Linked DNA regions of Sus scrofa. The main gene of each other region encodes a partner of the protein of the gene in region 6 in a complex. Links are inferred from orthologs where the notes say so. Each region holds a gene or a part of one and is shown on either strand. Other genes may lie near its edges. The genes, in order: SAMHD1, E2F1, RBL1, GMNC, CDKN1B, CCNA2 and CDC6.

Region 1 (4,273 bases), on a different chromosome or scaffold from region 6:
GCCAACTGACATTTACATCAACTTTACTGGATTACCCATTTCTCCTATTATCACTCTTTAAATATTTTTTAATCTAAATTTTAAAATCAGTGTTCTTAAAATTTTGAGTGAGTGAATGTCTTTTTCTGTGTTTACTGGTTGGCTGTCACTGTCCTTGTGATTTTCTCATTTTTCTACTGGATTTTTTTTCCTTCCTTTTAGCTGACTTTTTCTCCATTTTTTTTTTCTTTTCTTATTGGTTTGTTTATTCTCTTATTGTTTAAGGGAATCCAATGTATTTTGATGAAAACACATATTAAGATATAGCTAGCATGAATTCTGGAGTCCAAAGACCTAACCTTAAAATCCAGCACACTTTTTCCTAGTTGTGTGACCTTTGAATCTCAAACACATCATCTGCTAAAAAATACCGATTACAAAAAAAAAAAAAATACGGGAGTTCCCGTCGTGGCGCAGTGGTTAACGAATCCGACTAGGAACCATGAGGTTGCGGGTTCAGTCCCTGCCCTTGCTCAGTGGGTTAACGATCTGGCATTGCCCTGAGCTGTGGTGTAGATTGCAGACGCGGCTCGGATCCAGCGTTGCTGTGGCTCTGGCGTAGGCTGGTGGCTGCAGCTCCGATTCAACCCCTAGCCTGGGAACCTCCATATGCCGCAGGAGTGGCCCAAGAAATAGCAACAACAACAACAACAAAAGACCAAAAGACAAATAAAAAAAAAAAAAAAAGAGAAAAATTATTGCAATAGGGAGAACATTCTGATCTCAGAAGTCTACAATTGGCTCAAAATCAAACAAAAAAGAAGGTGTCTTTTTAATACTGTAAAGGAGGGGCAAGCAGAGATTAAGTAAAATCTTTGCAGGAGAAGTGACCCCAGCCCGACAGGATATTGTCCCACTGTGGTCAACTGGTTCCCTGGAGAAGTTAATCACGGGGCATATTCCACTTTTTTAGTGTTTGCTCTAGGTTGGGGGCAAATAAGAGTTCAGAGGTCAGTAGAAGAGAGAGCAGACTGACTAAAGTGTAGTCAAAACAAAGCAGGTAGTAAGAAATGTACAGTTATGAATACTTGGTCAGTTTCTACCAATTAAAAGCACATAATGCCCTCCGCTAGTATTTGACTGTGGGTCAAGAGGACAGATCATCATGAAGACTGATGAATCTACAGGACACCACCGAAAGAGAGAATCAACAATATAGGCAATCATATTTTGAAGACAATAAATAAAAACAACTTCATCCCCACCTATTGCTACTCAAAGAAAAATTTCATTCCCAGAAGTGGTGGAGAACAAAAGGGAAAAAGGAAAAAAAGAAGTACAATTTCCTACACCCATTAAGCTATCTTTAAATTTAAATCTTCAACCACTAAAGTTCCTCCCACCCTAGTCCCCTAGCCTAAGCAAATAAAGCTCCACCCTACAACCGCAAAAGTTTGCTGAATTTGCAAATCACATTCTCTTCCTATGGAACACTTCAGAGGGTAAAGAATAGGTTAAGCCTCACACCCCTTACGGGAAGTTGAGTAGATTTCAAGCAGATGGATACTTGAACCTGAGCCAGTAAAGTCGCACACCCAACCCACACATCTCCCCCGTGTGATGCGGCCAAGTTGTGGGCTCCTGGGAGTTCACTGGTCAACTGAACCACCCGACCGCTCTGATTTAGGGAGGGAAACTGCTTTTGGAGAACAAAACATGATCATGGCCAAGCTCTGCAAGTACAGTCATCAAGCATGTATGTATTGAGCCCAACTGGGATGCTAAGGTAGGTGATGGGGATTCAGAGATGAGGAGAAAAGTTCTTTCCTCTTTAGAAAAATCCCAAGTTGGGAGGGGAGCAGAGGAAATAGAAACTTTAAAGCACCCAAATATACCCTCCTCACGTGGCAAGTGTTCATGGAGCTGCATCAGCAGAGCGCGCTCGGGAGACAGCAACTCTCCCTCCCACCAGGCTCTCCGAACTGAAAAAGGGAGCTGAGTCCCGCGTGTCCGGCGCCGGCGGGGCAAGTTCCTGAAGAAGGCCACCAGAGTCAGACCAACTGCCACCCCCAACCCTAGGTTCGCAATCCCCAAAGTCTGCTTCATTCCTACGGATCCCCGACCCCAGACGCCCCCCCCCGCCCCTTTCTCCTTCATCCATCACTCCTGGGAGCCGCCGCCTCAGTCCACCCCTTTGGGTGCCTCCGGCGTAAAGTTCCCTTCCTCGCCTCAGGCTCCTTTCTCCGAGTGCTCGCCCCCTCAGGTTTCCGTTCTCCGCCTCAGGTCATCCCTCCTGGGCGCCCCGCTTCAGGTCCACCCCTTCTGGTGCCTCCCGCGTTCGGGCTCCCTCGTCCACTTGGCTCCTCTTTGAGGCCCCACGCTCATTACCTCAGAGCGCCCTCTCCTCAGGTCCGCTGGCCCCACCTCGGGTCGCCGCCACCCCCCCCCCCCCGCCGCCCCCGGCCCCTCAGCCCTCCAGCCCTGCTACCTCGGCAGCGTTCCAGCAGTTCAGAATCGCCGAAGCCACTGCGATTTAGGAAGCCGCACACCTGCTCCGGGCCCCAGGTCCGGTGGTCAGGGTGGAGGTTGGGGCCCAGGGACCTCTCTGCCGCTGCTGGAGGGGTGTTTGGCGGGGTTGTCGGGCTGCCATCGCACCGGGGTCGCTTGGAGGGCTGCTGGGAGTCGGCACTCTGCATGGCTACACCCAGCAACCGGCTCAGCACAGCCTAGAACCCCGGCGCTCTACCCACGCGCAGGCGCACTGACAGTCCGGCGCCTACCGCGAGTCAGCTAAGTACTGCCAGCCCCCAGGCCTCCCGCGCAGGCGCACTGACAGCTCGCACCTTGGGACCAGGCCGGCCACCCATCTCAGCACCCCCACGCCCCCCAGCCCTCGCGCAGGCGCAATGACCGTCCAATGGCCCTAAACCCCACCCGCACGTTTTCGATAAAGGGAGTGAATGGAGGCCGAACTGAGGGAGGTGCTGGTAAGGGCGGGGGAGCCTGGAACGAGTGTGCCTGGGACGTCCCGCTACAGTCCAGAGCAGGGGCTCTTCTGGTGAACTGAGCTAATGAGTACCCCAGGCTTACCCTTGGCGGTGTTTCAGATACCCTAAACTTAAAAAAAACCCTCAAAGGCCTTAAAGTTGCCCCTGTCTTCCCAATTAAGAGAAAAATTGGCAGGAAGCTGAACTGGAAGATGCTGGAATGAATTCAAATCTGATGTGAAGGTGTTTTCTTACATTTTACTGTTGTAGAATTCCCAGAAATCACGTCAGAGGACACCCCAGGAAGATGGAGAACAGCTTTATTAACACTCGTGGGTCCACGGGGGAATTGCTTCCCAATCATGGACCCCAAAGAGAAAGGGAGAGATATAGTGCTTGCTGACATGTTTTACATGCTACATTAACTTTTAATTATGTGCAGGATAGAGAAAGATGTATAGCTGTGCAAAATGTCTTACATTGTTACTCTGATAATTAACCTCAAGTACAATCCAGCTATTTTCAAATATCCTTAGAACAATTGGGGCCTGGAGTTTCTCAAGTCCTAGAGACTTTGCTTTTCTCAGAGCCCTCATATGGGTCAGCTTAAGTTAACCAAGATGGACGATGGTGGCAAGATGGCTCTACTCTTGTCAAGCTCCCTATTCTCTTTTTCCACACCCCTACATTACCAGTTTTTAAGATATGCTGGGCAGAATTCCCGTCATGGCTCAGTGGTTAACCAATCTGACTGAGGACCATGAGGTTGCAGGTTCGATCCCTGGCCTTGCTCAGTGGGTTGAGGATCCGGCGTTGCCGTGAGCTGTGGTGTGGGTCGCAGACTCGGCTCGAATCCTGTGTTGCTGTGGCTGTGGCACAGGCCGGCGGCTACAGCTCTGATTCCACCCCTAGCCTGGGAACCTCCATATGCTGTGGGAGCAGCCCTAGAAAAGGCAAAAGGACAAAAAAAAAAAAATATATATATATATATATACTGGGCAGTTAGAGGATCCTGGGGATGCCTGTCTGTGAAGTTTTAGCCTATCTTCAGGTTTCCACACATGAGCAGACTTCAGACTTCTAAAAGAATTCTCAACCCTTCTCTCCATTCCAACTCCCTGCCCAGAGGAAAGGAAGTGGCCAATTTATTTTCAAGGACTTTTACTACCTGCTGGTAACAGCTTGTGGAAATAGCAGGGATCTTCCTCTCATTTTTGCCACTCTGAGGCAGGACACAAACTTCTCTATAAATCCTGGTTTGTGCAATTAACTGGTAAAAGAACTACTACTACCAATACAAGTTCCTG
Region 2 (3,929 bases), on a different chromosome or scaffold from region 6:
CGGTGAATGCTCACCTGTGCAGAAGCTGAGTCTGTAGCTTGTTTCATGGGCTGCCCCAAACAAATGCCAGTGCCGAGGGTCAGTGGAGGCCAGAGCTCAGGTGGCCAGTGGCTACCGAAAGGTACAATGTTCAAGGCAAAACCTGGGCCCATGTTTCTCAACTTCAGCTCCAAGACAGCACCAGCCCCCACCCCTGCCCACGGCGAAAAATGTCTACTAGCCCTTAAGCACTGAGGGGCAGAGGCTCCTTACCTGCCTCTGCCTAGTACCTCATAGGCACTCACCAACAAGTGCTGAATGAAGGGAATGCTCAGGCCCACTGAGGCTGCCCCCGGCACCATAAGGAGTGGAGCACAGGGCATGTCTTTGGCCCAGTCTCTGGCTGTCCCTCTGAACCTAGAGCTCAGACTGCCGAGGGCAGGCCCCACAGCCAAGTACTATCAATTAGCTAAATGGAAGCTACCTGTCCAGGCCCCAAGCTGGTACTTGCAGTAACAGGTTGCTGAGGTGCAGGAGACCAGCCAAGCGACCCACCCCGGTACAATTTCCATCCCCCTCACTCATTAGGAGGAAGGGGTCCTGTGCTTTCATCAACCTCTATTAGCATCTCCAGGAAGCGAGGCATCCTAGTGGTTAACCACTCAGGAAATCTGGACTGGTCTCACAACTCACTAGCTGAGTAACTAGGGAAGGTTCTAACCTCTCTAGGCCTCAGCTTCCCGACCTGGAAAAGGGGAAAGTTGTTGAGAGGGTTAAATGAGTTAATTGGGTAAAGTGCTTGGCACAGGGCCTAACACACAAAACAGTCTCAAAATAATGGTGGCTGCTATTGTTATTATTAGCATCTTAGTGATTCCGGAAGGAAGGCCACACTGGGCAAGGGGCCAGGGGGACTGGGGGAACCTTGGTGGGATGCCTCAGGGACCAGCTGCCACCCAGTCCCCCAACAGTAATTGGGCAGATACTACTTCCTTGCCCTGGGCTTTGCCTCTCCCCTCCCACTTGCTCCAAGCCCTGTGCTGAGACCCCATACTGCTTGGCTGGCCCCTGCCTGCCCATCCATGCCCTACCCTTACCCACAGGCTGCGCCAGTCAAACTGGTCTCCACACCCTGTCCTGCGGCCCACAGGTCCAAGCTCCAGGCCTCCACCCCCTTCTCCCCCTGTAACTCAGCGGTCTCTTCTGAGCCCCCCCCCAATCTGAATTGGTCTTAAGCCTCTTGCTGCTCAGGGAGCACTTTATCAAGGCATCTCCCTGGGGCATTTACTCTTTTCTAGCACTGGGGGCCTCCTCTCCAGCTCCCAGAGGCCCAGCCCACCCAGTACTTCCACTGGGGCCAGGGGTCTGCCTGCCTGATTAATGAGCTTCCATGGCAACCAGAGTCTGGGAGGGTGGAGGGTGGCAGATGGAAGGACAGGCAGAGGGAGGGGAATCAGCAGCTGGCCCAGCCACCCCGCCCCTGCAGAGAAGGCCTCCCAGCCAGGCGGCCTGTCCCCAGAGGCCCGGAGGGCTAGGCCTGCACCTGGCAGTCCAGCATCCAGGCAGGAAGGAGGGTCTCCTCAATGGCCCTTCAACTTTCTGGTCCCAGAACTTTCCCCTGACTTCCCCAAGCAGCCGTGCCCACCATCCAGCCACAAGTTCTGGTCTGAAGCCAGCAGGCCTCAGTTCAAATCCCACTTGCAGCCTTGTGACCAGGGGGCAAGCCACTTCCCCTCTCTGGGCACAGTTCAGATGGGCACAGTGACAACACAGAGCTAGCTCACAGCATGGATGTGAGTTTTAGCTGCCTTGAAGTCTGCCAGAGGCCTGGCAGGCAGTCAGCAACAGCTGAATACACGTGGGCCATTATTATCATTGAGTCTGACCCTAGACAGGCTCCAGCGAAGAAGCTGAGGCCCAGAGCACAGAGGAGCAAACAAGGACTGGCCCGAGGTCACCCTGCACCCCGGGGCGGAGCCCGAAGGCCCAACCCAAGCTCGGCACCGCCCAGCCTGGGCGCCTCAACCCACCCTCCCCCGCCCTCGCCGCCTCCAGGCCAAACATAGCGCCCCGCCCGGGTCTACGCCGGGGTCCAGGCAGCGCACTTGGCCCAGTGTCCCTGGTGTCCGTACCGGCGGGCGGCCGAGCGCGGGGCGCGGCGCGCTGGGGGTGGGCCGGGGCGCCTGCGGCGTGGCGAAGAGCAGCAGGTCGGGGTCGCGGGGGCCGGTGGCGGGCGCGGCGGGGCCGGCGGGGGCCGCTGGGGCGCTGGCGTCCTGCGCGGTGGAGATGATGACGATCTGCGAGGAGTCGAGCAGCCGCAGCGCGCCGGCCCCGAGCAGGGCCTCCAGCGCCGGCGCGCATGGGCCGCCCGCGGGGGCCACGGCCATGGCGCTCACGGCCCGCGCGGCCCGGGTGGCAGTCGGCGGCGGCGGCGCGGGCCCATGGCAGCAGGCCGAGGCGAGGGCTCGATCCCGCTCCGGATCCCGCTCCGCCCCCGGCCGCCGCTGCCTGCAAAGTCCCGGCCACTTTTACGCGCCAAATCCTTTTTGCCGCGAAAGAGCCACGAGCCGCCGAGCGCTGCGCCTATTGGCTGTCCTGGCTGTGACGGAGGCGACGGCGACGGCGCCCATTGGTTGCAGCGCGCCGGACCGGCGGCGGAGGGCGGGACGGGGCGGCGGCGCGAGGAAGCACCGCCAATCGCAGGATGGGGCGCGCGCAGGCTTTGTCGGGGCGGTGCCAGGCGCGTTCGCACTCCCCGCCCCTAGAGGGGACGGCCCTGTGTGGGGAGTGGTGGCCCCACCCCCTCTTCGACGCACCCCATCCTGTTGATACCCTTTAGTGGAGGCTTTTACAACAGAACGTGTGTTGTGCACAGATCGCTATCCACAGACCCCACGTGACCTCCCAGAACCCCCACCTGTGGGTGCTCCAACACCCTCAGGCCATAACTCTAGAAACTGCAAACGCAGTTTCTCTTTTCCAGGATCTCAAGCCCACCTACAAAACCCCAGCCACATCTTTCCTCAACTTGCCCCACCAATGCCATTTACTTTCAAATCCTGCGCCCACCTTATCCCTTCCACCCAGAGCACAAGCAGAAGGAGTTGCCAGAAAATGGAGAGGAATGTCTGACCCAGTACAGCTTGGGGCTTTTCTCCAAAGCCTCCTGTAGCTGGAATCGCTTCAACAACCAAAGCACAGCTTCTGCTTGAACTGATTCCTTCGTTCATTCAACAAACCTTTTTTTTTTTTTTTTTTTTTTTTTTTTGCTTTTTAGGGTACCCCCTGGAAGGTTCCCAGGCTGGGGGTCAAATCAGAGCTGTAGCTGCCAGCCAAGGCCACAGCCACAGCAACATCAGATCTGAGACCTGTCTGCCACCTACATCACTGCTCACCACAACGCTGGATCCTTAACCCACTGAGCAAGGCCAGGGATCGAACCCACAACCTCATGGTTCCTAGTCGGATTCATTTCCGCTGAGCCACTTTGGGAACCCCAACAAATGTTTTGAGAGTCTGCTCTGTGCCCCCTTCTTGACTCCTGGCCCTAAGGATCTAACAGTTTAGTGAAAGGGGCTGGAGGGAAACTGAGGTAACAAATGTTTACATATGACACAGATTTCAACTATTAAGGTAATTCCATGTTAGATTTTACAAAGGGAGGAGGTGAGTGTGCTGAGCAACCAGAGGCCACAGGACCTCCCCATCAGCCACTTCTCATTGCTCAGTTCAGCTGATTTGAGTTATATTGTCCTCTCCTCTGTGCCAGGCTTTGTGCCAGCGCTGAGGGCAGATATGTGAAAGGCTTGATAATTTCTATGAACTTGCCTGCCATCTGGTGGGGATGGGCCCATCAAAAAAAAAGTAGCTGGAGTTTCCTCTGTGGCACAATGGGATCGGTGTCATCTCTGTAGTGCCAGGATGTAGATTCTATTCCCAGCCTGGCACAG
Region 3 (2,716 bases), on a different chromosome or scaffold from region 6:
CAGAAATATTACCTTTTTTTAAATATGATTTAACATAATCTAACCACACAAAAATCTTAATTAGAAAATTTTTAAGCTGTGAGTCTCAAATAGAGAAACACATCTGAAAGCACTCTTAAGAGAGAAGACTTCCTTAATTCAGTATTACATTTGGTCCATTCTAAGGCCTTGAAATGTATCTTTTATATGTATCTAAGGCATTTTTCTCAACTGAGGTGAAATTCACCTAACACAAAATTAACCATTTTAAAGAGTACCATTCAGTGTCATTTAATAAATTCCCGATGTTATGCAATCACCAGCTATATCAAATTTCAAAATTATTTTCATCACCTCTAAAAATCCCCTGCACTCATCAAGCAGTTACTCACTCTATGCTCTTCCAAGTTCCTGGAAAGTACTAAGAACATTAACTTTTAAGTTACAGTAAGATATCTGAAAGATATAAAGTGGATAAAAGAGATATATATTCTAGTCACACAGAAAAGAGCACAAGTATAGTTTTTTCAATAATTTCAAAACTCTAATATTTTATTAACCATTTTATGTACATTGATATCCAGTCTTGAAAACTGATAAAAACTTGTCCAGAGTTTCTTATAGAGACAATGTACAAATGCTCATTTACATTTTGCACATTAATAATGACGATTAAAATGGCACAATAGTTACAGCTACACAAAAATATATACAAGGATTCGAGACAGATTTGATGTTATTTGTCTTATAACATGTGTAGATACTACACAAAAAAATTCGGATATAATTTTCAGAAACGTAAAATTTGACCAAAGTCACTTTTCTTCTTAAAATTTAAAAATAAAATTCCTGACAATCGTAATTACTAATTCATAGTCAAATCTTAAGCAAATTCAAATTAGCCCAGGTTAGACAAAGGTTAAGTTAAATATTTCATATTTTAAAAAATAAGGTTTGCAGCTTAAAAAACATAAATCTGATAACATTTCCTCAAAATTAATTAAGAATGGCTTATCCATGTCCTTCCAGAATCTGGAAACACACTAGAAAAAGTGAACACTGAACAGCTGATTCTTTGGAAAGCTGCACCCCTAGCCCTGGAAAACATCCTTAAGAGGCCCCAGGGATCAAACCCTAGTGGGAAACTCACAAGGCATGAGTGATACTGAGAACCAAGAGGGAAGGAGTAATAAACAGCTGTTTTCTGATGTATAGCAGAATGATAAGGCATGAGGTGATAGTAATTAATTAAAAAAGATTTCAACTATTCTTAGGGAATCGATTAGACATTGAGAATGACCAATCTACAATGACCTCAAAAATAGTATTTCACATATTATCATGGTAGGAAATTTAAATTCTAACAACTTTTTTCTGTATTTTACTCTACTGGCCTGAGAAGCAGCTTCCTATTTTGAGAATTCTATGACATAAAATAATCAAGTATAATTAAGTTAATGGTTTGGAAAACAAAATGATAGTATTAAAAAGAAGCAAGAGGAATTTCCTGGTGACTCAGCAGGTTAAGGATCCTGCATGAGGATTGCTGTGGCTCCAGCTGTCATTGTTGTGGCATGTCACATTGCTGTGACATGCTGTGGCTCCAGCTGCTGCTGTGGCATGGGTTCAATTCCTGGCCTGGGAACTTCTGCATGCCTTGGCACGCCCAAAAAATAAAAAGTAAAAAGGAGCAAGTACCTCCTTTATTAGGTTGTGACACCAGGCTAAGAGGGTTTAGGGTTGGAAAGTAAGAAGTAGCAGGGATAGTGCATTGGTTCAGGTTTGAATCTGCTTCTGCTCAAGGAAACAAAGGGCATGAAAAGGATCTGGACAGCCCAGAAGGGTAGTGGTACCTGGATGTGGAGTTACCGCCCTGGGTCAGAGACAGGCTGGTACCACCTGTGCTCAACATTAAACTAGGAATACAACCATCTCAAAGCACACTTAAAGCAAAAACAGATGATTCACTTTCATATTACAAAGTCTAGAAGGAGAAGACATTTGAATTATTTCAAAAAGTGAGCTAACAAAATTATGGGGTTTCTCCTTACTTCGTCTGAAAAACCCAAGGAACAAATATTTTAAAAATTCTACAACTATTAATACGTTTAAAAGGCACTTAAAAATTCCTTTATAATTCAACTCAGTATACATCTCTGTCAACTATATTTTGGATAAATTTTTAAAAACTGCTTAATTTTGGTGTAATTTTTCCTGTAACTCAGTGATATTTACTTCCTACAGGGCTGACTGAACATTTTGAAAGATAGACCCCCAGCTTTCCGCAAAACAACTTGAAAGTGCTTTTATCATAGAAATGGAAAAAATTCTAATGATTTGCTCTTTCACTGACAACATCCTGTAGTCTTTTAAGTAAAACATCATCATTTTCTTGACAGATGCGTTTGGCAGGTGATTCTGCATCACCATCGATGGCTATTGCTCGCTTCTTGGTTCTCTGCTCACCTTGCCTTATCATGTTGTTGATATCTTTCAAACTCTGTGCAAAAATACAGGACATGTGTGAGTAAAAAGGGAAAAAGAAGCAGCAGCAGCAAAGAACTGAGCTGTTTTTTCCTGCCTTCTATCCTCTATACAAAGTTAAACACTGGGATAGAGATGATTTTAAAAATTAGATTTACCTTATAGCAGTAGTTATCAAAATGTGGATATCAGACCAGAAGCAGCAGAAGCATTTAGAAACTTATTAAGAATGCAAATTCTCATGCTTCACCCT
Region 4 (3,500 bases), on a different chromosome or scaffold from region 6:
ATGGGAAAGGGGTTCAACATGGTGGGTTTTATCATCAACTAAAATTTGGTCCCCCCAAAATCAAAGCTACACATCTTCAATAAATTATAGAAGGAAAGGGAGATTGGGGAATTGGAAAAAAAAGGAGAACTAGCATAGCAGGAAGAAAACATTTTTTTTTAATTTAGAAAGGGAACTCTTTGATGTCAATATTTCCATTAAATCTATGCACAAATGTTTAAAAAATAATGTCTCTTTTTCTTTTAGATGCATGTTTTCACATAGACTGAATTAACCTGGAAAATGGGTTCATACCAGAAAAAGAATACAGTGATCAGAGCAATGATTTCTAGTATTAATTACAAATGGCTTACATTTTGTTTAAATTGACTATAAAAAAGTTCAACCAACATATCTGCAATGACAATCAAAGTAGAGAATGGTGCCCTGGGATGGCAGAACTGGAGTTAATCTGATGGCACCAAGGTTCATTTATAGAATGTTAGTGATTATCTAGTCTGACTTCTGTCAGCAGATGAATGAGTCTAAATCTCTTAAGGGTTCCCATAGTATCTAAGTTTGTTCCCATTTTATTAACACCTCATAGCACAATGCCTGGTACATTGTTGGTGTTCTTCAAATATTTTTGGTGTGTTGATGCATGAAAGAATGAATATATGAATGACTGAATGAATGAGCAAGATAGCATCAGAGCTAAACTATACTATACCATCAGGGATAGAAATTTATCAGCATCTACGTAGTTAAAGATAGTGATTTATTCTGCTTCCAATAGTCCCTCAAAAATGTTCTTCTTTTGTCATGTTTGTTGCAAACACAGTGTCACATGCCTATAGAAGCTGTATACCATGTGGGAATTTTGAAGTAATTTAAATTCATTTTACCTTTTAATGTATCAGTAATTATGAGTATAGTTATAGCTGTTGAGTATAGTTATAGCTGTTGAAGAGATTTTTTTTTTTTGGTCAACTCCACCATGGGACACCCAATGAAGTGCCCAACAAATAGCATTCCTCACACCTACTTTACGTCTTCTGGAACAGCAAAGGACAAAGACATTTGCTTCTACCCCACCCCCAGTTATTTGAACACTTACTAACAGGTACTTGGAGCAATTATAATGCTCATTTCAAAGGCAGTTTTTAGAAATGAAGAGGAATAGGAGAGGAATAAAAGTGAAAGGGAGAAGGCTGTGAACATTTAAACTGCTTGATGAAAGAAGAAAAGCTGTTAGACTCATTATAATTGCAAGAGCATATGTAGGTCTCTAAGGAATATTCAGGCAATTGGAAAATACCTTTTCAAGTATAGGGCCAAGGGACGAAGTTAACAGCAGGTGTGGGTGTATAAACAAGTCAAATTTAGGGGAAAGAAGAGCAGGCATGTTTCATTATGGATTCGTGGAAGCCATTCCCTGCAGATTTAAGTGGGTAAGTGAGAGTGACATTTAAAGCGGCAGGAGACAATCTGGGCAATTGCTTGCATTTTCCACATATTCAGGTTCAAGTGCAAGAGGTTCTTGTAAACAGAGTTCATGGCAACCTTTTGTGGTAGAAGAGAAGGCCACTAAGACTGCTTAGGGACCCAGGTAAACTTCCAGCCTCCCTCTTCGTCACGACGAACAAAGGCTTGTCCCTGGTGGAAGGAGTGAGTTTTCACATTACAGTGAGGGCTCAGGGATGTGGAAAAGGCCATCTCTGTCTTATTGGGGGAAACATCAGAAGCATAGAAAGGAAGAGTTTGTAGCCCTCCTGGGGGGGTTGAAGGTTGAGAAAGGAAGTGGAAATTTTCCCTGTGGCTGGCAGTGCTGTGTGAGGAGGCAGTTCCATCACCTCCACAGTCAAGTGGCAGATCTTCCCCAGGGGCTCTGGGATAATCAATTGCATGGTCTAGAAACTGGGGAAATGAGCTGGTGGTCCGTCTGGGATGAGACGAGAGGGCACTGTAGTTAGCTGATGAGGTGTCATCAATGGTATTGAGATCTTTTAATCCCAGTGTTCGAAGAACCCAGGGATCCACTGGGGGCCCAGGTTGGTCTTCACAGTTAGCAAATTCCCTCGAAAGGTTTCGCTTGGCATTTTTGTGATGGGGAATCTCAGGAGGAAAATATCTTTGCTCTTTGGGTTTCCTTTTCCCCTTTCTGAATTTCCCGCAAGCTTTGGAGAATTCATCTGATGACAACAATTTCTGGGGAAGTAATATTTGAAAATCCACAATCAGATAATCAACCAATGTCATTTTCCTTACTTATTCTCGAGTATTTACTAGTAACATTAATTCCTTAGAAATCTCGATTACATTTCTGTGATCACACACAAAAGCAAAACTGATTGGATTAACTTCTGTTTCTAAATGAAAATCTATGATACACCCAGAAATTCAAATTCATATTATTTTACTAGTCATTTAAAAGTTAAAAGGAATAATTACGTCTTTAAAATTTCAATTCAGGTAAGTAATGATGACAATGATGATGGCAATAATAGCAACTATCATGTATTAAGGACTGGTTTACATTCGTGATCATATTTTATAGAGATACTATTAAAATCTCCCTTAATAAGGAAACTGAGGCACAGGTGTATTTCCAACTTGCTAAGGATCACACAGCCTAGATGTAAAGCTAAGCTAACAGAGTCTAGACAGTCACTGACTGAAATGCTATGTAATACCATTTCCTCTAATTTTATTAACCTAATACTACTTCCTCTAATTTTATTAACTTTCATAGCACTCTCATGTGATATATATCATATTATCCTAAATCTTGGAAACTTGAGAAACAAGAGAGAAAAAAATTGCCTAATTAATACCACTTGCTAATATAATAATTGCCTTTTTTTACAGAATTGTGACTAATAACTGCGAGCTATGCTCTCATTTTTTAGCAAAGATAACTGAATTCTAAAAAAAAATATATAGTAATTTTTTCTTCTCTGAACTGTTATATCTGGTAAGAGTCATAAGAAGCACGATTGATGACTGATGTAGATAAATGATGTAGCTTGTCCAGAAGTGAAGACTGATGATAGAAACAATGAGGTTATAACAGAATGGCAAATAGATAACAAAAAATACAAAACCCAAAGAAAGGAAGAACAAAAAAGGAGACTATGGGAAAATTATCCTTGAGTTATAGACAGTTCTTTTCTTCTTCTTCTTCTTGTTTTTTTCTTCTTTTTAGAGCCACACCTGCAGCATATGGAAGGTCCTGGGCTAGGGGCTGAGTTGGAGCTGCAGGCCTACGCCACAGCCGCAGCAACACCAGATTCAAGCTGCATCTGTGACCTATGCCACAGCTCATGGTAATGCCAGATCCTTAACCCACTGAGTGAGGCCAGGTATTAAACTTGCATCCTCATGGATGCTTTGTGGGGTCCTTAACCTGCTTTGCCACAATGAGGACCTCCTGAAACGGTTCATTTTCAAAAGGTAAGAGAAAAAAAGTTCATTAAAAGACAATGTAGCTGGCTTTGTCTAATTGCCAGTCAAGAGATCTG
Region 5 (4,060 bases), on a different chromosome or scaffold from region 6:
GTAGCAAAATTTTCTAAATTTGAAAAATAACTGGAAATAGAAAAGCTCACCAAAGAAAATTCTATTCACCCCCCCCAAAAAAAAAACTAGTTTCTCAGTCGTATGAAGAGTATACACACATGAATGCTTGAGAAGAGGTCCTTACTACTATTTCCTGTATTCGCTGAACTGGCAATATTTACTAACAAATGCCTCTCTGTATGTCAGAATGCGGCCAGATCAAAATCCAGTAGGTCTGATTTGCTGTGGCTCATCTGATGAGCTAGGCCACGAGTCACCAACCAACAAGAGCCACAGGTGTTAAGGTTGACTCAGAAATTTTTTTCACTTCATATACAGCTATAACGTAGGGTTCGATAGTGCCGTGTTGTATAAGCTCTGAAAGATATCAGACGTATGTAATAAAGTCCTACCTGTGACACTGATGTAAAAACACAACAAACTTGAACCCTACCTTCATCCCTGTTCTTTATTTTAAAATTTTTATAAATGAGGATTTTGAAAGTTAATGTCAACATCTCTTAGGATCTCTTTAAATGCTAAGCTATGAGGGTGTTTGTGGAGGGGAAAAAAAAGAGGTCACGGTCATTGTCTGTAAGGAGTGTACAAACTATTAACTAATATATGTAGTTTGATCATTATGGAAACCAATCCATGTAAAGCTGGGGGGCTGAATTATGCAAATTAGTTTTTTACATTGATCAGATTTTAGTAGGTGGAAAAATGTCCACTTGCCTTGTTCGGGGTAGCCCTAACCAGTGGCAGCCCTGGTATCTACTATCCATTTCCCCTACAAATATCCAAATTATCCTGTTATAGCACGATTAGCATACACATGCTGACGTGTTCCTGGATTGCTTACTCTGGCAGAGTTACTTAACTTCTGCTTTGTAACTTCAGTGTTATCAGAAATTCCATAGGAACCTTAGCGTTTTTGAGCCTTCCATTTTGGTTTTTTTTAAATACACAGGTTCCTTCTCCATCCCCCACACTGATCAGAAAACAGGGCAAGTGACACTTTGTGAAAACGATAGATAAAAGAAAGCCACACTCCTCTCTATTCACATTTCTAACCATGTGATTAACCAGATATGAGCCATTTGTACCTAACTTTTCCCTCAAAGTTTTAACTGGATCATTTATTTGCCATTTTTTTCCATGTATGGCTCAAAATCTGTTAGAGTCAGCTTGGTCCTCTGGGAGATGAATTCTCCTGAAGTGGGATGGAGGCAGACCCCCGCTCTTGTTCAGATGGAAAAAGAACCTATTGTTCCCAACACCGTTTTGATGGGACTCTCAGGGAACTGACCTTCCTACCCACAGGGCCTTGGTTGCAAGTATTTGCCTGGGACACTTGCTCTAATCATTGGGAGCTTCAAAGGAAAATGATCTCAGGACAGAGAAACTGGGAAGAATTATAGTACCCCCACCCTGATGCCCAGTCTTTCCCATTCCTCCTTTTTTTGGACCTCATAAAATACAAACAAAACCCCACAAGCTCTAATCTGCCAGACACCACTAAGATCGGGTATCTTGGTGTTTGAAAACCCATGAGTTCCTTCAGCCCAAATCGGGTGTCACTTATTTGCTTCCAGTGATCAACCCACCGAGCAGTTTACGTTTGACGCCTTCTGAGGCCGGGCTTCTTGGGCGTCTGCTCCACTGAAGCCGAGTTCGGGGAACCGTCTGAAACATTTTCTTCTGTTCTGTTGGCTCTTTTGTTTTGAGGAGAGGAATCTAAAGGCAGGAGGGAATTTTAAAAAGAACACACACAAATAATCTTTATTAGAAAAAACAATGGCTGACACAAGTTGGCTCGATACTGAGGGGACAAAAAACCCACCACCTCCACCCACCATCCTGGATCCGTCATTCCCAGTGGCCTTTAAGGGCACAAAATGAGGTTGTTTTCACATAACAGAAAGTGTATTCTACGCCCCAAATCTCTCTCTCTCCAAAGCGAAGAGGGAGGTGGTTGATAAACATCCCAACGTTGTCACATACCTACAGCTGGCTAGCGGGGAGGAGCCGCGATGTTTTCAGTTAGAGAAATTATCAGATAGCACAGTCTCATGCTTCAGACTTAAAAGTCATAAACAGACCAGCAGCTAGCCAAATAGCATTTAAAACCTAAGATGAGGAAGGTGTGTTCCCCAAGAGCTAAGTCAGAATGCGCTGAAAAGAAAGCGGAGGTTTAAGATCCTCAAGCAGGGAAAACAGCACGGCAGACAAACAGAGAGAGGCAGACAAACAGACGTTTCATGCATTCGAAAGGGTCATTACCGTCTGTGGCAGGTCGCTTCCTTATCCCAGTGCACTGCTCCGCTAACCCCGTCTGGCTGTCCGGTGCATCAGTCTTTTGGTCTACCAAATGTGTGTCCTCTGAGTTGGCCTGAGACCCAATTAAAGGCACCGCCTGGCGGGTCCCGCTGACACCCTGGCCCTCCTGCGCCGGCACCTTGCAGGCGCCTTTGGGTGGCCGCGGGGGTCTGTAGTAGAACTCGGGCAAGCTGCCCTTTTCCACCTCCTGCCACTCGTATTTGCCCTCCAGGGGCTTGTGATTCTGAAAATCAAAATTCCACTTGCGCTGGCTGGCCTCTTCCATGTCTCTGCAGTGCTTCTCCAAGTCCCGGGTTAACTCTTCGTGATTGACCGGGCCGAAGAGGTTTCGGCAGGCCGAGGGCTTGGGGTACTCCGCCTGTCTGGCGTCCATCCGCTCCAGGCTCGGGCTCCCGTTAGACACTCTCACGTTTGACATCTTCCTCCCGGGGCTCGGCGACCGCCTCTCTCGCGCTCTCGCAAAACAAAACCGAACAAAACAAAACGCCTCGACCCAGCCCGAGCCCCTCTTATAAGCCCTGCGGCTGCCCTCCGAGCCAAGAGAAACAAACACCGACGAGTAAGCGCCCGAGCGTCAGGAGCGCGCTGGGGCTGGGGGAGGGGGCGAGGGGCAGCCCGGGCCAGGCAGCCCCGAGTCTCCGCCGATCAAGTGTACGGGCGAGCTGGAGGGCGGGGAGGGGAGGGGAGAGGAGCGCAGCGGAGAGAGGAGGGGGCAGAGCCAGTCCGAGTCCCCGCCGCTGCGAGCCCGCGGGTCCCGCCGACCGAGCGGCTCTCCAAACCTTGCCGGCGTCGGAGTCGCGGAGCGGCGAGAAAGTGGGGACAGGGGAGGGGGAGAAAAACACCCCGAAAAGACGAGCCCCCTTTTTTTAGTTGCCCAATATGGCGGTGGAAGGGAGGCTGACGAAGAAGAAGATGATTGACACCGCAAGTCTATTTAAACAGAGGAGGAGATCATTGGTCGCGGCGCCGGGAGCCGCCCAGCCGAGACTGGCGAGCTGGGCCTTAAGGTGGCCCCTGAGCCGCCGCTGCGCCTCCCCGCCTCCCGAGCGCGCCGCCGCCGAGCGCGCGGCCGGGAGCTCGACTGGTCGCGTGACTGCTGGAGGTGCCGGGCTGCCAGCAAACCTGCTCTGGCTGGCCTCGGAGAAATTAAAAATAAGACAAACTCGCCAAAAGGCCGGGGAGCCGGGGAGGGGCCTGGCCGGAGAGGTGGCGGGTTCTGGTCCCTGCGCTGCGCTCCGCTCCGGAGCCCCGACCTCCCTCTCCTCGCCGAGGGCGATCTTATTTTCCCCTCGCTCGCCGAGCGGGTAGGGGCGGGCAGCTGGGCTCGCCGCTGGGCGCTCGGCCCCCAGCTGGGCTCTCTCCCGGGGGGGCCCCCACCGCTCGCTCAGCGGGGGAGGCGGGGAGCCCCTGAGCCTGGGTGCCTTAGCTGGGGGTGAGCAGTGGTTAGCTCACCCTTAACCTAGAAGTCTGTGCTGTTCTAGGGGAGGCAGGGGGCTTAGGGGGGAAGCCCAGGAGGACGTCTTTCTATAAGTAGACTGGAATAGATGCTGCATTTGTAATGTATTCTGAACCCAAGCTCTCCCTCAATAAAAACAAGAAAAGGGCTTCGAGATCAAAAACTCTATTGGTCTCCCAAGTCCCTAATAAACTTAGTAGCTGTCTCAGATACATTTCGTTTAAAAAAGCGAGGATACACCCCTGGCCCAGGTTCTTGCTTCCC
Region 6 (3,926 bases):
TAAGATTAAGTTACTTTTAATTTTCTATCTAATTAAAGCTAAAAGTGATTGTCCTTGTAAGGAGTCCCATACTACCAAAGCATTTATTTTATCCAACTAAAAAGAGCTTCTTATGACAAAATACATAGAGGATTTCACTCTGATTTTCGTACCTCTGTCCACCTAGCTTTGGAATGATTTTAACAAGAAAAAAAAAAAAATACTGATAAGCCATTAACAGGAAAAAGAATTTGAGGAAAAGATATTTTGTTAAAGTATCCTTCATCTCCCATGACAGGAGTACAACGGTTCTGTCAGAATAAGTTAAAATCAAGTTTTGAGGTAATACCTAGGATTTGTCATAAGGGAGCTTACAGACCCCAAAGTCTGACGTATTCAAAGCACAATCTAGACGGTAACTAGAAGGCTAATGTGTGCTAAAGAGAATTATATTTGTTATGGGCAGTTCCAACCTATTAACACTACAATCAAGGGGAGATTCTTTGTTGTAAATTTAGATTATCTTTGGAGGCAAAAAGTATCAGCTATTAATGTTTTTACTTCAAGGTTTAATCTGAGGTTAAAATTTGTTGTAAATTTTACTTTTTTCTTTTTTTTTTGGTCTTTTTAGGGCATGTGGCAACTACCAGGCCAGAGATGGAACCCTCCCACAGCTGTAACCAGTCACAACATGGCAACACCAGATCCTTAACCCACTGAGCCGCAAGGGAACTCCTGTACATTTTAAATAAAAGTACACAAATTATTTTATTTTCAAAGGACTTCCCTGCTATACCTCTCATTGACAGAACTAAAATATACTAGATTTAGTGAGCCCATCTATTATATGTGGTAATGTACAAAAAAGCATAGTTCAACTGTGACTCACAGGATAACCATGTCCCTCCCTGGTGTCAGTCAATCACTCAGACTGCTTTTAAACAAAAGTTTAAAGCTGGAAGAGATGTTGATCACAACATTTATTTTTTGTCTTTTGTCTTTTTAGGGCCTCACCGGACTGCATACGGAGGTTCCCAGGTAGGGGTCTAATCAGAGATGTAGCTGCCAACCTACGCCAGAGCCATAGCAACGTGGGATCCAAGCCACATCTGCGACCTACACCACAGCTCATGGCAACACTGGATCCTTAACCCACTGAGCAAGGCCAGGGATTGAACGCGAAACCTCATGGTTCCTAGTCGGATTCGTTTCCGCTGCGCCACAACGGGAACTCCTGATCACAATATTTAAACTACATCCTCAAATAGCACTCTTTGAAATGGTATATACAAAGTGAATCTTAAGAATACAATTGAAATATATTCTCCCAATCAAGCAACATGTCCAGGGTCAGATTAAAGTAAGTGTTTGAGATCTAATAAAACTGATGTGATTAATAGTGTACCAGAGAGTATAGGATTAAGATCCTTTTGTAGGTCACTAGGTCATGGATAAACTGTGAGGCCTGAAATAAGTCACAGCCTTTCTAAACTTACCTATGCAATAATTATGATTACATTTATTTGATACAGATATTCTTTAAAACTTACCAAAACTACCATCCATTGGGTAATCAAGAGGTACCAGTGGTTTTCTTGGTCCAGGTAAAGTAACAGCTGAATTAAAAGCCAGGACATCTTCACTTTCTGGTTTTTTAGATTCAGCTGGCCTCTTTTGAGTCTCTTCTTCTGCTTCATCCACATGAATGGTAAATGCAGGTTGTTTACTGTTTGCTTTCCAAGGAGGAACAGTGACATGCTCATCATTTATAGGAAGATCCTTAAGAGGCGCAACCTAAAAATAAATAACTGGCTTTGAGTCTATTAAATGGAATTTGGCTTTCATCCCCTTATACTGCATTTACTTCCAAATACTCTATCAGGAAAATTAAACTTTATGGGGCAAAATTCAGGCAAGGAAATTTGAGTATGCGTTCCTGCAGAGGTTTTAGAGTCACACTAACGGATTACACAAAAATAATCAGGGCTAAGATAGGTGGTGGGGCAGGCCAAAAGATGCCAAATTTAGGAGAAATGGCAAAAAAGTGGTTTACCTCTTTCGCCCCAGGGTGGAGCAACAGAGCAAATTCGGTAAGATGGCGGAATTGTCCAAAAGCAAAGTATTTTTTATACCTTTTTCTAAAGTAGAGGTAATCTCTTAATTATGTGGGTAGCATGAAGGAGGTCCGGGCAATGCCTGGGGCCTAAAAGCTGAGAGAAAGGCGCGGAGGCGGCAAAGACCGTACTTAACACATACTCAACGTCGGAGGATTTGGTTTGACCATTATTGTCTATAGCAAAATACTCTCCATAGAGCAGACAGGCAACATAAACGCATAGTGCTGGCAGGGAGACTAATGGGAGAAAGGAATGGGGGTAATGTGGCATCCCACACTCGAGAAAACCAGAGGTCAAAGGGACCCCCGACACTGGCCTCCCGAAAAAACCCCAGGAGATGCTACCTCGCCACTCTCCTCTGCGGTCCAAACCCATGCAAAACTCCCGCTTGGCCCACCCTCCTCCAGATAATAACTCATTTACCCGTCGCGTCTTAGGCCTCTGCTGCAGCGCTGGACCCCGTGAGTTCCCGGCCTTCAGTACCGCCAGCCCAGCCCGGGTCCGGGGCTGCTGGGCGGCCGCAGCCTTCTCGGGGTTGATGTTCTCTTGGTCCTCTTGGAGCGCCGTCTGCTGCAATGTTAGCAACGCCGAGCCCGCCTCGCGGGCCACAGGCCCGGGCGCGGAGCTGCCCAACATCACTGCTCCCGGGGGCGCGACGGGATCAGCCTGCGGCGCCAAGCAGCGTGCACTGCGTCCCGCCGACCCGCCGAGGAACACTCCTGCCCTACCTACCCGCCACAGCCCGGGCCAGCCTGCCCGCCCGCCTGCTCAGGATCGTGCAGGACCAAGGAGGTTGCAAAAGCCGGAGGCAGGCGCTGCCGGGCGTGCAGGGTCAAGGACGCCCCCGGAATGAAGCGAGCAGCCCGCCGGAGCGGCAGCTGTTCCTGCAGTTCAAGTAGCCCGCGACTATTGAAATGGACCAATGATAAGGGCCAAGGCCCGTGACGTCACGCTGGGCGACACAGTCGCAGGCAAGTGAAGGCTGCCGCGAAGGAAACCGAGCAGGGGCGGAGCGGGGCGAAGAAAAGTCGGTGAGCAGCAGGAGGAAGTACGCCCGCGCTGCGCAAAGAGGCGGGGCCTAAGCTTATTGTGACTTTAAACGGAGCCACTAGGGGGTCCCTGTCTCAGAGCAAGGGCTGTCTCTAGAATAAACTAAATTAAATTTTAACAATTATTAGTGGGCCACCTTGGCCTTTAGCCTCAGGACCTCCAGTTAGCTCGACTGACTAGTTTCTCAAGGTCTAAAATCTGATCCGCCCACTTACTGGCCCGGTGATCTTGTTCAAGCACTTCAATGTTGATTCTCAGTTTTGTAACTGTTAATTGGGAGTAATAATGTTTATGCGTTATATAGGTGTCCTTAGTATTAAATAACGTGCATAAGTCATTTAACACACTGCTAACGTAACTGATACTCAAGTGGCAGACTACATCATCTTACCATTTAAGTGCTTCGCACAGTCATGCTTTTTATTTTTCTAATGATGATGCAGTTATTTTGAAGTACCACCTTGTACTACTGTTGATAGATGTAGCAAAGAGTAATGTACTACAAAAAAACTCCACTAGATGGTCATTAATGTTCATCTCTTTCTTTCCCAAGCTGTGGTAGCCAACAAAAAGCAGAGTAAAATTCTAGTGATCTATATATAATTATGTGCTCCATTTAGAAATGAATGTTTAAATATAGTAAAAACAATATGACCTTATTAAAATAAAACTCTGTTAGCAATATGTGCCTTAACAAATTCTAACATTTAATATACAAGGCTTGCACATATCTAATAATTATAATGGTATATAATTAAGAAGCACTGTTTTCCAACAAAT
Region 7 (3,500 bases), on a different chromosome or scaffold from region 6:
TCGAGAACTGCTCAGCCATGGCCATTCAAACAGTGTGTACAATACATCCTGCCCTTTGCTGTCCAGCTGATCCATCTCGTCCAACACCAACACACTACAGAGAAAGAGAAACAATAGTATCCACGTTCCCCTTCTCAGCTCTCCCATCTGTCTGATCCGGACGGATTCCAGGCCACATCCCTGCAGTCGTAATCTGCCCTCCCTCCCGTCCCTGTTATGATGATACCTTCACCACTGCCAAAAAGCAACAGCTTGGCATTTCTTTTTTTTGGTCTTTTTAGGGCTGCACACGAGGCATATGGAGGTTCCCAGGCTAGGGGTTGAATCGGAGCTTTAGCCACTGGCCTATGCCACAGCCACGCCAGACCCAAGCCGTGTCTGAAACCTACGCCACAGCTCATGGAACCGCCGGAGCCTTAACCCACTGATCGAGGCTAGGGATCGAACCTGCATCCTCATGGATGCTAGTCAGATCCGCTTCCTCGGAACCACAGCAGGAACTCCAGACTGGCTTTTCAAGCAATTAGTTTAAAACCCCTTTTTCCCCAATTTAAATTTAGGAAGGTTTTGTTTTTTCCTTGTCTTCTTTCCCTGGAAGCTTATATAACTACCTCTCATAAAGCAAATCTAGGAAAGGTACTTTTTACGAGCAACCTGATAAAATGCAAGAGACGAGAATGTGAGCTGGGGGACAAGAGACCCTGTAGACTGTCACAGAGTGACATGCGGCAGAGCAGTGCTTACATCATGGGGCCCTTCTCTGCAGTCATATGGTTTTCCAGTTTCCTCATCAGGTCCTTCCCAGCTGGCCTGGATACTTCTTCCTGACAAATCTCCTGAGCAATGGCTGGGAATACAGCCTGGGCACTCCTCAAGGACATGCAATTCAGCATGACGGTTTTAAAGCCTTTCAGTTCCTTCTACAAAAATGCAAACATGAGTTATTTTAGACTCAGATAAAGATCTGACGGAACCTAAAGTGTCTTAGAGGAGTGAATAGCATACAAGAGCGTAAGCTCCACTTCCATTTGGAAAGATTTAGACAGTGAAATGAAAGACATCCTATTTTGGGGAACACGTCGATCCCCTAGGGTCCGTCTCCTCTTTCTTTCTTAACCCTTAAGAACCAAGTGTCATTTTGCAAGAGCACCGTAATTCGGGCTCTCAATATACCTTGAGGTCTTGCAGAATTCGGCTTAAGCAGGCAGTTTTTCCAGTTCCAGGAGCACCAGAAAGATAAAGACTTCCAGCTTTTTCCCCACAGATGTGCTCCCTCAGGAAATTCCTGAGGACATCCATCTCCTTTTCCCTGGCAGGCAGCTGATCCGGGACAGCTGTCGTCAGGACCTGCTTGGCTTGCTGGTAGCAAGTGCCTGTGCCAGACATGAAAGGACAATTAGACACAACGGAGGTGACTGAGACGACCCACTGGGCCTCCTTTGGAATCCCCAGCCTTGTTTACAAGGCTGCACCAACAGCTGCCAGGCGAGAACGAACCTTCTTGCTTGAACAATCGCATACGAGCAGACTCCTTCTCCAGCGGACATCTCTGCTCAGAACTTGTTGTGACCTCTGCATCTTTTCGAATTGAGGAACGTGTTTTGCTTTGGTGAACTCCGGCTTGTTCCCTTTTGCTGGGAGACTTAATTGTCGGCTGATTGTCAAATACCAATCTGCGCCCCTTAGGTGTGCGTGAGCGAGGGGGACCATTCTCTTTCTTGCCTTGCTTTGGGGGTGAACAGGGAGGTAAACGGGGAGTGTTGCACAGGTTGTCGTCACCTGAAACATATTAAAATCAAAACGTGGTCATTCGGAGCAGTGGGTGGTAAAAGGGCTTGGCGTGCTCTTTGCATCTCCCCCTCCCCCCAAAGAAATGAATTTCTGCCCCTCAGAACCGCCAAAATAAAATGCCTTGCAGCCAGAGCAAATATTGGCCACCAGATGGCAGCCCTGAATTTACTACCTTTTGGTAGAAACCAAAAGGGTTTTTAGTTTAGGATGAAATTCTAGGATTGCTCTAAAGCAGGGCACTATGTCCGTAGAACCCCCTCAGTTATGACAACTAAAAACGTCTCCAGATACTGCCAAATCACCCCTCATTAAAAACAAGGAAGGATCACCACCGTTCTAAAACAAGAATTGTCACCTGTTTCTCAGTTTTATTTTTTTGGCTGTGCATGCAGCGTGCAGAAATTGGACCTGGAAAGAAACCCACAGCCACAGCAGTGACAAGGCTGGATCCTTAACCCACTGAGCCGCCAGGGAACTCTGTCACCTGTTTCTCTTAATTTCATAACTATTGAGCCAAGTTTCAAAATACTATAGAGGAGTTCCCGTCGTGGCGCAGTGGTTAATGAATCCGACTAGGAACCATGAGGTTGCGGGTTCGGTTCCTGCCCTTGCTCAGTGGGTTAACGATCCGGCGTTGCCGTGAGCTGTGGTGTAGGTTGCAGACACGGCTCGGATCCCGCGTTGCTGTGGCTCTGGTGTGGGCCGGTGGCTACAGCTCCAATTGGACCCCTAGCCTGGGAATCTCCATATGCCGCGGGAGTGGCCCAAAGAAATAGCAAAAAGACAAAAAAAAAAAAAAAAAATACTATATAACCAACTGAAAGGTAACCTGAAACACTGACAGAACAAAGTTCAGTGTTAAGAACTGAAGATTATATCTATTAAGTAGTTTAGAAAATGATCTCAACAAGTAGCTTAACTTTGAAGTGCTAAGCACTTAGCAACCATTCTGAAAATAACCAAAGGGAATAGAGTGGTCATAGCTGAACTCTGAAAGCTGTTTCAAAGGCATCTTATTATTATTATTTTGTTTTTTAGGGCTGCACCTGTGGCACATGGAAGTTCCTAGGCTAGGGGTCAGATCGGAGCTGCAGATGCCAGCCTACAGCACAGCCACAGCCACAGCCACGCTAGGTCCAAGCCTAGTCTTCGACCTACACCACGGCTCACGGCAATGCCAGATCTTTAACCCATTGAGTGAGGCCAGGGACTGAACCCACATCCTCATGGATACTTCTAGTATCATGGATACTAGTCAGGTTCATAACCAGCTGAGCTACAACTGGAACTCCCCCCAAGGCATCTTGTTGAGAAAAGAGAGGTTGAGAGATACCAGTCAAAAACTTGTACTTAAGTAATAGATAACTTACCCAGACGTTTTCTGGGGCTAAGAGGCAGAATTTTTTCACAAGGTGAACGGGGTATGGCCTTGACATTTGTCAGTTCTAGTTTGGTGTCACTGGAGTTTTTTGCTTTGCCCAATGTCTGAGACAGTTTCTTTTTTGGAAAATTGATTGTAGCCTGTGACTGGGAGCGGGTTTGAGGCATGACGGCAACACAGCTGGGTACAAAAAAGAGAACAAGACAGCCAGTCCATATGCAAAAGTGAAGGAAAAATAACTAACATGGAACTCACATCGATAATCAACACTTGTTTCATAAATGTTCTAGCAATAGTTTAGCATTTAGTTCTGCTTCACATCCAAATC

Evidence for each region.
Region 1: the proteins of CCNA2 (region 6) and SAMHD1 are in contact, whole or in part, in a cryo-EM structure (PDB 9HIW), measured with the Homo sapiens proteins. The link is inferred for Sus scrofa from reciprocal best matches to the Homo sapiens genes CCNA2 and SAMHD1. Residues at the interface, in NP_001228.2 of Homo sapiens: Met210, Ile213, Leu214, Trp217, Glu220, Val221, Glu224, Arg250, Leu253, Gln254, Tyr280, Ile281, Thr282, Asp283, Asp284, Thr285; in NP_056289.2 of Homo sapiens: Lys615, Ser616, Arg617, Val618, Gln619, Leu620, Phe621, Lys622.
Region 2: the proteins of CCNA2 (region 6) and E2F1 are in contact, whole or in part, in a crystal structure (PDB 1H24), measured with the Homo sapiens proteins. The link is inferred for Sus scrofa from reciprocal best matches to the Homo sapiens genes CCNA2 and E2F1. Residues at the interface, in NP_001228.2 of Homo sapiens: Met210, Ile213, Leu214, Trp217, Glu220, Val221, Glu224, Arg250, Gln254, Tyr280, Ile281, Thr282, Asp283, Thr285; in NP_005216.1 of Homo sapiens: Val88, Lys89, Arg90, Arg91, Leu92, Asp93, Leu94, Glu95.
Region 3: the proteins of CCNA2 (region 6) and RBL1 are in contact, whole or in part, in a crystal structure (PDB 1H28), measured with the Homo sapiens proteins. The link is inferred for Sus scrofa from reciprocal best matches to the Homo sapiens genes CCNA2 and RBL1. Residues at the interface, in NP_001228.2 of Homo sapiens: Met210, Ile213, Leu214, Asp216, Trp217, Glu220, Glu224, Arg250, Gly251, Lys252, Leu253, Gln254, Tyr280, Ile281, Thr282, Asp283, Thr285, Tyr286; in NP_002886.2 of Homo sapiens: Gly654, Ser655, Ala656, Lys657, Arg658, Arg659, Leu660, Phe661, Gly662, Glu663.
Region 4: the proteins of CCNA2 (region 6) and GMNC are in contact, whole or in part, in a cryo-EM structure (PDB 9HIU), measured with the Homo sapiens proteins. The link is inferred for Sus scrofa from reciprocal best matches to the Homo sapiens genes CCNA2 and GMNC. Residues at the interface, in NP_001228.2 of Homo sapiens: Met210, Ile213, Leu214, Asp216, Trp217, Glu220, Val221, Glu224, Arg250, Leu253, Gln254, Tyr280, Ile281, Thr282, Asp283, Thr285; in NP_001140158.1 of Homo sapiens: Asn165, Ala166, Lys167, Arg168, Asn169, Leu170, Ser171, Glu173, Phe174, Ala175.
Region 5: the proteins of CCNA2 (region 6) and CDKN1B are in contact, whole or in part, in a crystal structure (PDB 1JSU), measured with the Homo sapiens proteins. The link is inferred for Sus scrofa from reciprocal best matches to the Homo sapiens genes CCNA2 and CDKN1B. Residues at the interface, in NP_001228.2 of Homo sapiens: Met210, Ile213, Leu214, Asp216, Trp217, Glu220, Val221, Glu224, Met246, Arg250, Gly251, Lys252, Leu253, Gln254, Leu255, Tyr280, Ile281, Thr282, Asp283, Thr285, Tyr286, Thr287, Gln290, Arg293, Met294, His296, Leu297, Lys300; in NP_004055.1 of Homo sapiens: Lys25, Pro26, Ser27, Ala28, Cys29, Arg30, Asn31, Leu32, Phe33, Gly34, Val36, His38, Leu41, Thr42, Asp44, Leu45, Glu46, His48, Cys49, Asp51.
Region 7: the proteins of CCNA2 (region 6) and CDC6 are in contact, whole or in part, in a crystal structure (PDB 2CCH), measured with the Homo sapiens proteins. The link is inferred for Sus scrofa from reciprocal best matches to the Homo sapiens genes CCNA2 and CDC6. Residues at the interface, in NP_001228.2 of Homo sapiens: Met210, Ile213, Leu214, Trp217, Glu220, Val221, Glu224, Tyr225, Arg250, Leu253, Gln254, Glu277, Tyr280, Ile281, Thr282, Asp283, Thr285; in NP_001245.1 of Homo sapiens: His89, Thr90, Leu91, Lys92, Gly93, Arg94, Arg95, Leu96, Val97, Phe98, Asp99, Asn100.

The regions. Positions count from the first base shown.
Region 1 is NC_010459.5:40,169,136-40,173,408, forward strand, and holds the start of SAMHD1 (deoxynucleoside triphosphate triphosphohydrolase SAMHD1), read right to left. Parts: upstream 2,801-4,273; 5' UTR 2,676-2,800; coding exon 2,468-2,675; intron 1-2,467.
Region 2 is NC_010459.5:37,187,319-37,191,247, forward strand, and holds the start of E2F1 (transcription factor E2F1), read right to left. Parts: upstream 2,801-3,929; coding exon 2,796-2,800; intron 2,741-2,795; coding exon 2,629-2,740; intron 2,505-2,628; coding exon 2,112-2,504; intron 1-2,111. UniProt on the Homo sapiens protein: Transcription activator that binds DNA cooperatively with DP proteins through the E2 recognition site, 5'-TTTC[CG]CGC-3' found in the promoter region of a number of genes whose products are involved in cell cycle regulation or in DNA replication.
Region 3 is NC_010459.5:40,200,714-40,203,429, forward strand, and holds the end of RBL1 (retinoblastoma-like protein 1), read right to left. Parts: intron 2,480-2,716; coding exon 2,309-2,479; 3' UTR 501-2,308; downstream 1-500. UniProt on the Homo sapiens protein: Key regulator of entry into cell division. Directly involved in heterochromatin formation by maintaining overall chromatin structure and, in particular, that of constitutive heterochromatin by stabilizing histone methylation.
Region 4 is NC_010455.5:128,241,580-128,245,079, forward strand, and holds part of GMNC (geminin coiled-coil domain-containing protein 1), read right to left. Parts: intron 2,188-3,500; coding exon 1,567-2,187; 3' UTR 1-1,566. UniProt on the Homo sapiens protein: Regulator of DNA replication. Promotes initiation of chromosomal DNA replication by mediating TOPBP1- and CDK2-dependent recruitment of CDC45L onto replication origins.
Region 5 is NC_010447.5:59,733,032-59,737,091, forward strand, and holds the start of CDKN1B (cyclin-dependent kinase inhibitor 1B), read right to left. Parts: upstream 2,801-4,060; 5' UTR 2,759-2,800; coding exon 2,284-2,758; intron 1,738-2,283; coding exon 1,616-1,737; 3' UTR 1,608-1,615; intron 1-1,607. UniProt on the Homo sapiens protein: Important regulator of cell cycle progression. Inhibits the kinase activity of CDK2 bound to cyclin A, but has little inhibitory activity on CDK2 bound to SPDYA. Involved in G1 arrest. Potent inhibitor of cyclin E- and cyclin A-CDK2 complexes.
Region 6 is NC_010450.4:102,259,220-102,263,145, reverse strand, and holds the start of CCNA2 (cyclin-A2), read right to left. Parts: upstream 2,801-3,926; 5' UTR 2,733-2,800; coding exon 2,520-2,732; intron 1,774-2,519; coding exon 1,530-1,773; intron 1-1,529. UniProt on the Homo sapiens protein: Cyclin which controls both the G1/S and the G2/M transition phases of the cell cycle. Functions through the formation of specific serine/threonine protein kinase holoenzyme complexes with the cyclin-dependent protein kinases CDK1 or CDK2.
Region 7 is NC_010454.4:22,111,942-22,115,441, forward strand, and holds part of CDC6 (cell division control protein 6 homolog), read right to left. Parts: intron 3,353-3,500; 5' UTR 3,340-3,352; coding exon 3,162-3,339; intron 1,780-3,161; coding exon 1,498-1,779; intron 1,374-1,497; coding exon 1,174-1,373; intron 921-1,173; coding exon 745-920; intron 95-744; coding exon 1-94. UniProt on the Homo sapiens protein: Involved in the initiation of DNA replication. Also participates in checkpoint controls that ensure DNA replication is completed before mitosis is initiated.